3 linked regions of the Mus musculus genome follow. The protein of the gene in region 3 interacts with the protein of the main gene of each other region in a pairwise test. Links are inferred from orthologs where the notes say so. Each region holds a gene or a part of one and is shown on either strand. Other genes may lie near its edges.

Region 1 (4,296 bases), on a different chromosome or scaffold from region 3:
ATAAACAAATGGAACTCTAACCACATTTTTATGGATAAGTCAAGAAACTCCGTCTCTTCTGTTCAGACTTTTGTATTTGAGAGCTTAGGTCTTGTAGATAGCTATCAATTACCTATGGTAAAATGATAATCAGGGATCAATAAAGTGTATTTCCAAGTTAATAATTTTCCCAATTTTGCCTTTCTATAACCAAACTTCAGTTATCTCTTGGCTAAAACAAAAAAGATTGCAATCATCCTGGTAGTCATCATTATTCACAATTTCCTTTAGTGGCAAGATCCTGCAGCTAATTTTTCCTGCATTCTTACTGGCTGTGAAAATTCTCTTGCCTTTATGTAAGTACTTATTATTCTGTAGGTTAACTATAATTAGATTACTGTCATTCAGCTTCTCATTAGTCAAACTTCTCTAGAGAAAAGAGAGGCACATGAGGTAATAATGATCACCAGTTTGCAAGGTATGCCTACAACCTAGATGCAGTGCCACCCATTTTCCAAGCAGCAATGGCCTGTATTCCTCATAGGTCTTCAGTACAGTATAGTTCCGGGTAAAGATATGAGTATAGTAGTAAGTACGCCAGACATGGTGGCCCAACCCTGTAATCCCAGCAATTGGGAGCCAGTCAGGTGAATCTCTGAGTTCAAGACCAGCCTGGCCTACCTAGAGCGTTCCACGTTGGCCAGCGATACATAGGGAGACCCTGTTTCAAAATAATAGTAACAATAAAATAACTATCCGGCCACTTCATTCTTTTCTTTTTTTTTTTTTTTTTTTTTTTTTGGACAGGGTTTCTCTGTGTAGCCCTGGCTATCCTGGAACTCACTCTGTAGACCAGGCTGGCCTCGAACTCAGAAATCCGCCTGCCTCTGCCTCCCAAGTGCTGGAATTAAAGACGTGCGCCACCACGCCCAACTGGACACTTCATTCTTCATAACAGCTCTGAGAAACTTCAGGATCCAAGGGCCACCGGGCTGTCAGACAAACCCGAAATCTGTCACCTCTCTGGCACTCAGACTTGGGGGTGGGGAGGGGGCGTTAAGTGACGCCGCAGTGTCGCTACTACTTCAAAGCAAGCCACTTCTGCGGCTTCTCGCGAGCGCTACCTTCCGGCACCGCCCTTGAAGCGGCACCAAGCCGTCATTCACCCTCTAGGAAAACCAGCCTTGCCGTGCCCAGGGCGGAGCTGACAACACGAAACACCCTAGGCCGCTCCACTGCTAGTGGAGTCCCAGAGCCCGGCCTACGCGCCACATGGCTGAGCCACACCGCACCGGAGATCTTCACCGCTGGCCACTCTAGCCGTTGCCGTCTCTTTGCTCCCAACCTGACGTCATCACTGGGCGCCGCAGTGCAGTGGTGGGCACGCGCAACCAAGATGTCTCCGACGCCGGCGCTTTTCAGTTTGCCGGAGGCGCGGACGCGATTTACGGTGAGCTGAGGGGCTGAAGGCCGTGGTTCTGACCTGGCGCTATTCTTTCCCTTTCTCTCGCTGAAGGGACTGAGGGATTTTCGCCGCCGGGTCCGTTCCTGGCCCCTTCCGGGACTGACATTAAGGGAAAGGCGCACTGGCTACGCGTCTGTGGGTCCTGACCCTCCCTCCGCGGGCAAGTCCCGAGACCCCTGGTCGTTACCGTCGTCCTGCGGGCGAGCGTGGAAAGCTCACCCAGGCTAGCTCAGTCAGCTTCAGCTCATTAGCTAGCTGGGCGGGACGGGTTTCTCAGGCAGGAGCCCTGAAGTCAGTTTCCACCCCGCCAAGAAAGGAACCTCTCCCTCTGCCCCTTGTCCTCAGTCCTGGGGGTAGAACGTGCCAAGCAAAGAACTCCACTACTGAATTACAGCATTTAGATAAGTAGTTCTCAAGCTTTGCTTTGTGGTATTGTCTTTTGGATTGTTGTTGTTTAGTCAGGGTTTTGTTATGCAGCCTAGGCTAGGCTGGAACTCAGAGAATTCAGGTTGACCGTAAACTGATGTTTCCCCAGCACTGGTTACATGATGCCCCATCAAACTTAGCAAGGTTTTTTTAAAGCAGGAAACATAGATTGGTGTGATACATAGGAAAGGGAAACCTGTGGCGCAAATGTCTAGTTAGCTCTTGGCAGGTTTTCATGGGATAAGGATTACGATCACTAGAAATAAAAGTTAATAAAAATGACTGGCAGAAAATATTTCCCAGTTTAAAACATTTTTTTTTTTTTAGTTAGAAAGACTTATAATTGATGAATGGTAAATTTTTATAAACAGCAAAAGCTTTCTACTTATTTGTCATTTTTATTTTTGTAGAAATCTACCAGAGAAGCCTTGAATAACAAAAATATCAAGCCGTTGTTGACTGCCTTCAGTCAGTTACCTGGCAGGTAAAGCACACTGTCCATGAAAAGAGGACTCCATGATGTTTGTGAACTATTTGTGAAATGAAGGTATTTTATGTTTTTAATAGTGAAAATGAAAAAAAATGTACCCTTGACCAAGCTTTCAGAGGTGTTCTGGAAGAAGAAATTGTAAGTATTTACCCCCTTTGTTAAAATATGCTGGCCGGTTAATAAGTCATGTTGTTAAAAATTGCTTTATTATTAGAATGGATATTTAAACATGACATGTTTTCTGGGCATGAGCATTCTGCCTTTGAGACAATGCATTAGGCTCTTGATGGCTCAGGTACAGTTTAAGCTTTGATGATAAGAAATGGTTTGACATTCAGTCTTAAAGAGCAAGAAGTAAAGACTGACTCAGGGAGATGCCTCAGCAAGTCAAGGCACTTGCTACAGAGCGCCATGTCCTGACTTTGGTCTCTAGATCCTAGATGTTGGAAGGAGAGGACTCCTGCAAGTTGTCCTCTGACCTCCATAAAGAACACACACAGGTACACAAAATACAGTTTTTAAAATGTAGTTTTAAAAGTAGAGTCTCACTTTGTTATATAAATGATGACACACTGTGTAAAAGTGGTCTAGTCCAAAGATGTTAAGCATAGAGCGAGGATTCCATGTCCTCATTTTCTTGTGGGATTTTTCCTCAGCTATAAGCATACATAAATAACTAAGGCTTGTTTAACCCTGCTGAAGAAATTTAACCATGAAGAATCTAAATATTACCTTTAGCAGGGATCCTGAATGAAAGATTTTTTAACATTTATATTTGATTAAGCAGAAATTGGGTCCCATGGTGGTAGATTCTCTTCTGATGACCATAATATAGTATCCCCCCTCTTTTTGTCAGATAATTCTGGGTCAGACCAATTGATCTTTTTTTCAGCTTTAATCGTTTCTCTGTTATGAGGTGCTAAGAAAGTCACTTTTCCTATTGTTACCTTCCTGCAGAAGGCCCTCTGCTAAGTCTGCAGTGTTACTATGGATTCAGTCCAGGCCCTGCTTTTGTCCTGCTGTTGCCTTTCACCCACAACCTTAGAACTTCTGTGCCCAATAATCTTATAACCGTAGTCATGCAAAAGTTAACATTTCACAAGTTGGGTTTTGATTGACTCACTCTTTACTGCTTGATATACTTAGTGTGTATATTACTGTTCATGGTTTTTCATCTTATAAAATAACTTTGTATAAGATATTTTCATTCCTGTTTGTATGACTGCTTAATTTCATAGAACTTGTCTTTATTGTTAACAAATTAGTGCAAATTCTTGCTTCTAAATAAACTTGTTTCTCTGTTGGTAGATAAATCATTCCGCATGTGAGAACGTTTTAGCTATTATTTCTCTTGCTATTGGGGGAGTGACCGAAAGTAAGTATCTTTCTGTTTCTCCTAAAAGTTGTTTTAGATCTGACCTGTTTTATTTAAGACTCTCGACATACCTCTTCCTCTGTCTGGTTTTGTTCATCTTTTATGTGTGTTGCTAGAGACCAAATATAGGGCCTCATGCATGCTGTGCTACCACTGACCCACACTCACAGCCCCTGCTCATTGTTTGACTCCTTCCTTTGCCAAGAAGATGTTCCTACTTACTGCTCATCACGATTATGTCATGTACATTACAGTTTGTTTGTTTTCAAGTGTTTTAATCATATATCAGTACTTAGTGAGCATTTATTGTATGCATGTACTAAGTTAGGATTGGGAGGTTCAGTGTAAGAGTCTACTGGGTAATGCAGGGCAGACGTGTGTGAGTGTGTGAGTGCTGTAAGCGCTATGGTTAGAGTTTGTTGATGAATTTTAAAAAGTAAGATGAGCTTGGATCTGTGACAAATACCTATTATCCCACACTTGTAAGGCTGAATCAGGACAGTCAGAAATTGGAGTCAAAATAAAACAAAATGAAAAAAAGAAGATCTGGTCTACAAATAG
Region 2 (3,634 bases), on a different chromosome or scaffold from region 3:
CACAAGGGCTTGTGTATATACAGTTCATGTGTTTTCATGGGCATGTGTGGAGGCAGAGGTTTATGTCAAGTGCCTTCCTTGATGGTTATCTTAATTTTTACAGTTATGTTTATATATTTATCTGTCTATGGGCACAGTGTGTATATGCCATAATGTTTGGAGGTCAGAGGACAACTTGTGGTAGTTGGTTCTTCCTATCTACCATGAAGGTTCCAGAGATCCAGTTCAGGTCATCAGGCTTGGTGACAAGCCCCTTGACCAGCTGAGACATGTCGACAGACCTTTTTTTTTTTTTTCCCCACCCTATTTTTGAGACAGGGTACTGTACCTGGAACTAATGAGTTTTGATAGGCTAGCTGGACGGGAGTTCCAGGGGTCCACCCTGTCTCTGCCTTCCCTGGGGCGGGCTTATGGCACTGGTTTTTACAGGGGTGTTAGGGGTCCTTAGGCGTCTGCAGCTATCACTTTACTGACTGAGACTCTGCTTTTCTTTTTTTTTTTTTCATTTCCCATTTAAGCAACAACCATCACCACCACAACAAAACAGAGCAAAAACAAAAACAAACCCAAAAACCACCGACCTTTATTGTGTGTGTGTGTGTGTGTGTGTGTGTGTGTGTGTGTGTGTGTGTGTGTGGACATCAGAGGACAATTGCCACAGTTGCTTCTTCACCTAAGGATTAAACTCGAGTCCTGAGGGACTAGCTGTCTTGCTGGTCTTCTTGGGTTTTTTGTTTGTTTGTTTGTTTGTTTGTTTTCGAGACAGGGTTTCTACGTATAGCCCTGGCTGTCCTGGAACTTACTGTGTAGACCAGGCTGGCCTTGAACTCAGAAATCTGCCTTCCTCTGCCTCCCAAGTGCTGGGATTAAAGGCATGAGCCCGGTTGTCCTCTTGTTTTTGAGATAAGTTCTCTCTCTATAAAGCTCTGACTTCCTGGAACTCAATATGTAGATGAGGCTGGCCTTGAAATCACAGATGCCTCCTAAGTGCTGGGATTAAAATCATGCTACATAGCAAGGTTGAGGCCAGTCTGGGTTATAATGAGACATGGTCTCAAAAAAAAAAAAAAAAAGTTAGAGCTCAAGACATGGCTCAGCAGCTGAGAGTACACACTCCTCTTGCTGGGGACCTGAGTGTTTAGTTCCCAGCACCCATGTAGTTAGAGCACACCTGCCTGTATCTCCAGTTCCAAGCAGACCTGACCCTGCTACTTCTCCGGGCACTGTACACACTCATGTGCATATACCCGTATGTATACACATAATGAAGGCATCTTCAAAAAGAAAAAGAAATGAATAGGAGCCAGCAAAACTGTGCTAGGATCACAGGTGCATTCTACCACGCCCCATCATTGCAGCTCTGGGCATGGAAGCCTAGCAAGGCAAGCACCGAGCAAGCTGAGACCCACCCCCACCCTCATCATCAACTGTTTCTTACTTGTATGTTGGATTGTTGTGCTTCTCCCTGCCAGAATGTGAGCTGAGGGGAGAATCTTTCTGTTTATTGTCACTTGCTGAATGAGTAAAACTGATGAAATGTGTTTTAAAATCCCACTGGGGTAAAAGTAATAAAATTAGTGTGAATGAGATACTTTTAGCCACGACTCATGACTTATATTGTTATCATTTAACATTGAATACATTATCGAGTCCTCAGTTTCTCTTAGTTCAAAACTTTTCCTGTTGCTACCTCAGCAGTCTCCCATTAGTAATATTACCACTGCCTCCAGTGATTTGATGTCCCTCATGCACTTAGCCATCCCAGGGAAGTATTACTGACCCAGCATCGTGACCAGGGCTTATCAGGCTTGGGGTGGCTTTGGTCCTGTAGCTTTCACTTCAGCTTCTCCTTTTTCTTGCACAGGGGATCACCCACGGCAAGATAGCATGGATTTCAGTAACGAATGGGGAGATCCTTCCAATTGTCGGTGTGGGGACAGACTGAAGCCACTGGAGCGGAGAGCTGCTCGCCAGCACCAGCGATGTCTAGCCCATTCTCTGGTTGGGACTCCCAATTATATTGCACCTGAAGTGCTACTGCGAACAGGTAAAGCACTTATTTTTTTCACCAGTATTTCAGTAGTATTTTAAAGCAGCCAACCTTACTTTAGAATATACCCTATTTCTTTCAGGTTTAAGATAAAAGTGCTTATTTTACATTATAAAGTGTTAACATAATGCTAATGTCTGTATTCTGAGCATTTTAAATGCATTCTTGTGAATAATGGTATAATTTTGGTACCTTTAGGATATACACAGCTGTGTGACTGGTGGAGTGTTGGTGTTATTCTTTTTGAAATGTTGGTGGGACAACCTCCTTTCTTGGCACAAACCCCATTAGAAACACAAATGAAGGTAAGGTGTAGCCTGCATGAAAAGTCATCAGCCCTTCAACCGTGAATCTTCAAGTGTGCTCTCGTACTCATGTGTCTTTCCTGAAACACTTGAGACAGAAGTATTCCATTCACATTCTTTCAGATATTGTTTTGTTTTGAGACAGGGTCTCAAGTGTGTTGCTCTGAGTAATCTGGAATTTACCATATAGACCAGTTGGCTTCAAACTTGTAGAACTCTGCCTCTGCCTCCAGATTTTTAAATGCTTGCATATTCACACTAAGATTTTAAACATGACATCATTGTATATGTTAGCCAGCCTGATGGTAATTTTACATTGTAGTTTTAGTGTACCTTTATTTCTTTATGGTTGGTTTGGTTTTTTGGAGCAGTAAGATTCAAGCCATGGATATGCTAGACCTTTGCTCTAACATTGAGTTGTACCCCAGCTCCTGTGAATTCTTTGTGAATGTAATCAACATAGCTCAGGTATAGAGCTCTCTACTTATGATATCATACCAACATTAAGAATTTTTATGTTTTTTAAAATGATTTATTTTACTTATATACTACACTGTAAGCTAGCTGTCTTCAGACACACCAGAAGAGGGCATCAGATCCCATTACAGATATGGTTGCTGAGAATTGAACTCAGAACCTCTGAGCTCTCAGTGCTCCTAACTGCTGAGCCATCTCTCCAGCCCCCGAATTTTTATGTTTTAAAGTATTTCAGATTTTGAAGTTTTTGGATTGGGAATGTTCAACCTGTTTAAGCCTAGCATAGCTTTACACACCTTAAATTCCAGGACTTGTTAGACAGAGGAAGATCTCTGTGAGTACCAGGATAGCCTGGTTTACTTAGCAAGTTGCACAACAGCCAAGGCTACTAGATCCTGCCTGTCTCAAAAATCAACAAATGGGGATGGAGAAATGGCTCAGCAGTTAACAGCACTGACTGCTCTTCTGAAGGTCCTGAGTCCAGCAACCACATGGTGGCTCACAACCATCCATAATGAGATCTGATGACCTCTTCTGGAGTGTCTGAAGACAGCTACAGTGTACTTACATATAATAATAAATAAGTCTTTGGGCTGGAGTGAGCAGAGGTCCTGAGTTCAAGTCCCAGCAACCACATGATGGCTCACAACCATCTCTCCAGGTACAGTGTACTCATACATAAAATAAATAAATATTTTTAAAAAAATCAAACAAATGGCTGGGCAGCAGTGGCATAGGCTCTCAGGAAGCAGAGGCAGAGGCAGGCGGATCTCTGAGTTAGCAGACAGCCTGGTCTACAGAG
Region 3 (4,215 bases):
AGTCTTACAATAAGGGAAACCGGTGATGGGTGTTATGTGTCAATCAGTTGTAGTCTGCTGATCTGATTAGAAGCCTTGACAAATGCCTGATGACGATTGCAGATAACTGCCAAGCATATGGGGATAATACAGTAGCCCACTGTTTTGGGATCCGCTCTCGTACAAGAATAAAGGAACAAAAACATCTGTAAGTACGGAATCAAGAAAATAATTGTCCACAACCAAAAGGGCAGGGAAAGTAACCGAGCTTTCAAGGAGTGTGTCCATGTGGTTCCTTCCCGAGGCTCCTCAGGGTGCTGCAGAATGTGTTCCAAAGCCAACCTGTTGTAAGTCTCATTGATTTCAAAAACATAATAAAACGCTGCTGCACTTGCTAGCAAATACAGTCCCACTCCAATCCATCCCATCCGCTGACGGAAGTTCATCATTCTCCATGCTCTGTGCCTTCAATGCAAACACAGAAAAATTATTGTTAAGGTCTAATAATGTTGCCATGGCAACTATTCCAAGTGCACATGATTTAAATTCAAGAGTTCTGAAAAGCACGAGCATTTTAAGATTTAACAGCTGTAAACAGCTTACAGGTGGTTTTATATAACAGTTGTAAGCACATAAAAATACTGGTTTCAGTGTCTACTGAGTGCTGTTATTTATGTGAACCCCAGAGTGAATGAATCATCACTTCTTGCTTGAGTAGACCCAGTACACCTTCGTTTCAGATAATGAAACATCTAGTTTCCCCACAGGACGTTGCTCTTGACAGTTGAAATGCTTTCTGGCTTAACACTATTTCAGACGTGGGCACTGGGTTGAGTTCTACTCGTTAAACCAACGTCGGAGTCCCCAAGTTAAGACGGTAACTCTTTCAAACACTTACAGTGGTCCCGAAAATCTTCCTGTTCCCCCTGCAAGCGAGCAAGAGTCACTCAGTTCTGAACAGTCAGGTGCCTTTGGCATTTCAGAACAAGCCACCTTAAGAGAAACCCTCTGGGTCGCGCAGCTGAAGAAGGTGAGCGCGGCGGCGGGAGCACGAGCTAGTAGTGATTAAGCTCAGCGTGACTACGGCTGGTCACGCGGCGGCGGCGGGCCCCGTCGCCCTCCGGAGCCCCAGGCGGGGGGAACCACCTGGAGATGCCGGGCCCGCCCCCCACTGCACCCGCCGCCGAGCTGAGCTGGGCAGTGGCGCCAGGCTTGGCCTGCAGAGGCCCGAGCTCGGCTCCCGGCCGGACGCCGGGCCAGCCTGACAGCCAAGCCGAGCAGCCCCGGGTCTCACCTTCCTGTCCTGAGTGGCCCGCCCGCTCGCAGTCCCGGATACCGCCGCATTCAGAGCTTCCGTCTAGGGCCGGAAACGCGCGCCGGCCTCTCATGACGTCAGGCTGTCAGCTTCGCGCCGCCTCCAGAGGCGGTTGTCTGTTCCCTGAGGCGTTTGCTGCGGTCGTTCTTCTGCCCTCGGCCGGGAGGCGGGCGCGGGGAGCCCGGGTCTCTCCTAAACCCCGCAAAGGTCAGACGTCCTCTCCGGGACCCAAGCGATGTATCTACGGGCAGGTGATCCTGATGGCGTTCGTTTCTAAGCGCCTGTGGCGGGTGGGCGGAGGAACTGCTCGGGAGTCAGACACGGTTAACTTAACGTGGATGCTCTGTTTTCTCAGGCTCCCGGACCTCTGCGTGTTAAAGAGACGAGCACGCACATCACTGTAAGCGGCGGCGGCGGCGGCGGCGCCCTGGTCGAATTAGAATTTAAATACTCTGAGCACCATGACACTGAGACTTCTAGAAGACTGGTGCAGAGGGATGGATATGAATCCTCGGAAAGCACTATTGGTTGCCGGCATCCCTCCGACCTGCGGAGTGGCAGACATAGAGGAGGCCCTGCAGGCTGGCCTTGCTCCCTTAGGGGAACACAGACTGCTTGGGAGGATGTTCAGGAGGGATGAGAACAAGAATGTAGCCCTGATTGGGCTTACAGTAGAGACTGGCAGTGCCCTGGTCCCCAAGGAAATACCTGCAAAAGGAGGTGTCTGGAGAGTGATCTTTAAGCCTCCTGATACTGATAGTGACTTTTTGTGCAGATTAAATGAGTTTTTAAAGGGGGAGGGCATGACGATGGGTGAATTAACCAGAGTTCTTGGGAATCGGAATGACCCTCTCGGCCTAGACCCGGGCATAATGATCCCTGAAATTCGAGCACCCATGTTAGCACAGGCATTAAATGAGGCCCTTAAGCCTACCCTGCAGTATCTGAGGTACAAAAAGCTGAGTGTGTTCTCAGGCAGGGATCCTCCAGGACCAGGTGAGGAAGAATTTGAATCTTGGATGTTTCATACTTCCCAAGTAATGAAAACATGGCAGGTGTCAGATGTAGAGAAAAGAAGGCGGTTGATAGAGAGCCTTAGAGGTCCAGCATTTGAAATTATTCGAGTCCTCAAGATAAACAACCCCTTCATTACAGTTGCAGAATGCCTGAAGACGCTTGAGACAATATTTGGGATTATTGATAATCCTAGAGCATTGCAGGTCAAATACCTTACTACTTATCAGAAGACTGATGAAAAGCTGTCTGCCTATGTTCTAAGGTTGGAGCCTTTATTGCAGAAACTGGTTCAGAAAGGAGCAATTGAGAAAGAAGTTGTGAATCAGGCCCGTCTAGACCAAGTCATTGCTGGGGCAGTCCACAAATCAGTTCGAAGAGAGCTTGGGCTGCCGGAGGGTAGCCCAGCCCCAGGCTTACTGCAGTTGCTGACACTGATAAAAGATAAGGAGGCCGAAGAAGAAGAGGTCCTCCTTCAGGCCGAATTAGAAGGCTATTGCACTTGACCCAAGACCCAAGGCTGTCATGAGCAGAACAAGATGGAAGAGCTCATTGCAGAGATCAGCCCATCCACTCTTTATGCTGCCAAAGTAACTCGCCCTTTGTCGTGTTGTTTACTGAATGTCTCCCCAATGTTTTACTGATAAAAATGATGTCATTCTACACTGATAATTATTTAAATCAAAAGACCATTCTGCTAGTACAGTGTCCCAGCAAGTCAAAAGTTTATATGCATGTTTAATAGTCATATGTGATGGTGCTATCAGTTATCAATAGTTTTCAGGTGTTGCCCACATTTATGCTGAAGACCCTGAGCCAAGGCTGGTTAAGATATTTAGTTTCTTTTATTAAAATCAGTTATCGATTCTGTGCAATCAAAAAGCACAACTGAATGCTGTGGTCAGTTCTACAACTAGTTTTAGGTTTGTGACTATCTGATATGTTGCCAAAACGTCTGCTTCTAAATATCATTTTCTTGGAGTAATAAAGAAATGATAATAAAATATTTGATCTTTGTATACATTGTAATACTACATTTGAAGGAAAATAATTTTTTGGCTTTGTTTTTAAGACAGTTTCTCTGTGCAGCTTTAGCTGTGCTGGAACCCACTCTATAGACCCAGGGTAGTCTCAAACTCAGAAATGTGCCTCCTGAGTGCTGGAATTAAAGGCCTGCACAACTACACTAGGCTGAACAAAAGTTTTTATAGTGTGAATCTGAAAGCCACTGAAATTACAGACTTAGTTCTTTGAACTCTTGGCACCTAGGGGATAGGAACTTGCTTGTTTGACAGGAACCAGACTATAAACAGATTGTGGCGAGTAGTAGGCCCATCAATATTGAATTTTGAGGGAGAAAGGGAAGATGAAGGTTTGTGTTTTTCCAACCCTGGTGCTACACACCTATAACCCCAGTGCTTAACAAGTAAAGCCAAAGTCAGGAAGACTGGCCTCTCAAGGCCAGCCAGAACTACAGAGGGAGGCCCTACCTCCAAAGAGAAAACTACATACAGGGAAACTAAGATCACCTGGGAAATGGATGTATGCCCAAGACGAAGCAGGCAGTAATGAGAGCTGTTCTGGTTCTTGCAAAGCTGCTGTTCTCTCTACTAAGGGAGGGAACTACACAAAGAATCAAGGCCAGACTGTCACCGTGTGTACATGTAGTCTTGGGAGTGTGATAGATTACTCTGAGTTAGGAATACATGGAAAGTTTCCTTATGTTCTCCACTGCAGAATGGCATGTGGACTCTTGAGAGCTGTGATTCTGCTCATGTTTGTATAGTGGCTTAAGATACATTATGCACTGTCCTGCAGGTCACTCATTTGCTGCCTCGGTGAGAAACTTTACATTTTGTATAGACACACAAGCATTAATAAATGCCACGCCTCTTCTGTATGTGAGA

What was found.
Region 1: the proteins of Moap1 (region 3) and Thoc1 interact in binary tests that used the Homo sapiens proteins (3 or more experiments, as listed by UniProt). The two-hybrid records come from large-scale screens. The link is inferred for Mus musculus from reciprocal best matches to the Homo sapiens genes MOAP1 and THOC1.
Region 2: the proteins of Moap1 (region 3) and Lats1 interact in a two-hybrid assay, tested with the Homo sapiens proteins (2 studies listed by BioGRID and IntAct). The two-hybrid records come from large-scale screens. The link is inferred for Mus musculus from reciprocal best matches to the Homo sapiens genes MOAP1 and LATS1.

Annotation. Positions count from the first base shown.
Region 1 is NC_000084.6:9,956,818-9,961,113, forward strand, and holds the start of Thoc1 (THO complex subunit 1), read left to right. Parts: upstream 1-1,362; 5' UTR 1,363-1,375; coding exon 1,376-1,429; intron 1,430-1,493; exon of another isoform or gene 1,494-1,604; intron 1,605-2,280; coding exon 2,281-2,354; intron 2,355-2,437; coding exon 2,438-2,498; intron 2,499-3,668; coding exon 3,669-3,735; intron 3,736-4,296. UniProt on the Homo sapiens protein: Component of the THO subcomplex of the TREX complex which is thought to couple mRNA transcription, processing and nuclear export, and which specifically associates with spliced mRNA and not with unspliced pre-mRNA.
Region 2 is NC_000076.6:7,708,601-7,712,234, forward strand, and holds part of Lats1 (serine/threonine-protein kinase LATS1), read left to right. Parts: intron 1-1,864; coding exon 1,865-2,047; intron 2,048-2,248; coding exon 2,249-2,355; intron 2,356-3,634. UniProt on the Homo sapiens protein: Negative regulator of YAP1 in the Hippo signaling pathway that plays a pivotal role in organ size control and tumor suppression by restricting proliferation and promoting apoptosis.
Region 3 is NC_000078.6:102,740,829-102,745,043, reverse strand, and holds the start of Moap1 (modulator of apoptosis 1), read left to right. Parts: upstream 1-1,382; 5' UTR 1,383-1,501; exon of another isoform or gene 1,502-1,545; intron 1,546-1,649; coding exon of another isoform or gene 1,650-1,672; 5' UTR 1,673-1,755; coding exon 1,756-2,814; 3' UTR 2,815-4,215. Other genes in the region: Tmem251 (transmembrane protein 251), read right to left, coding at 33-444, 878-957; Gm20604 (AK010878-Moap1 protein), read left to right, coding at 1,650-1,672.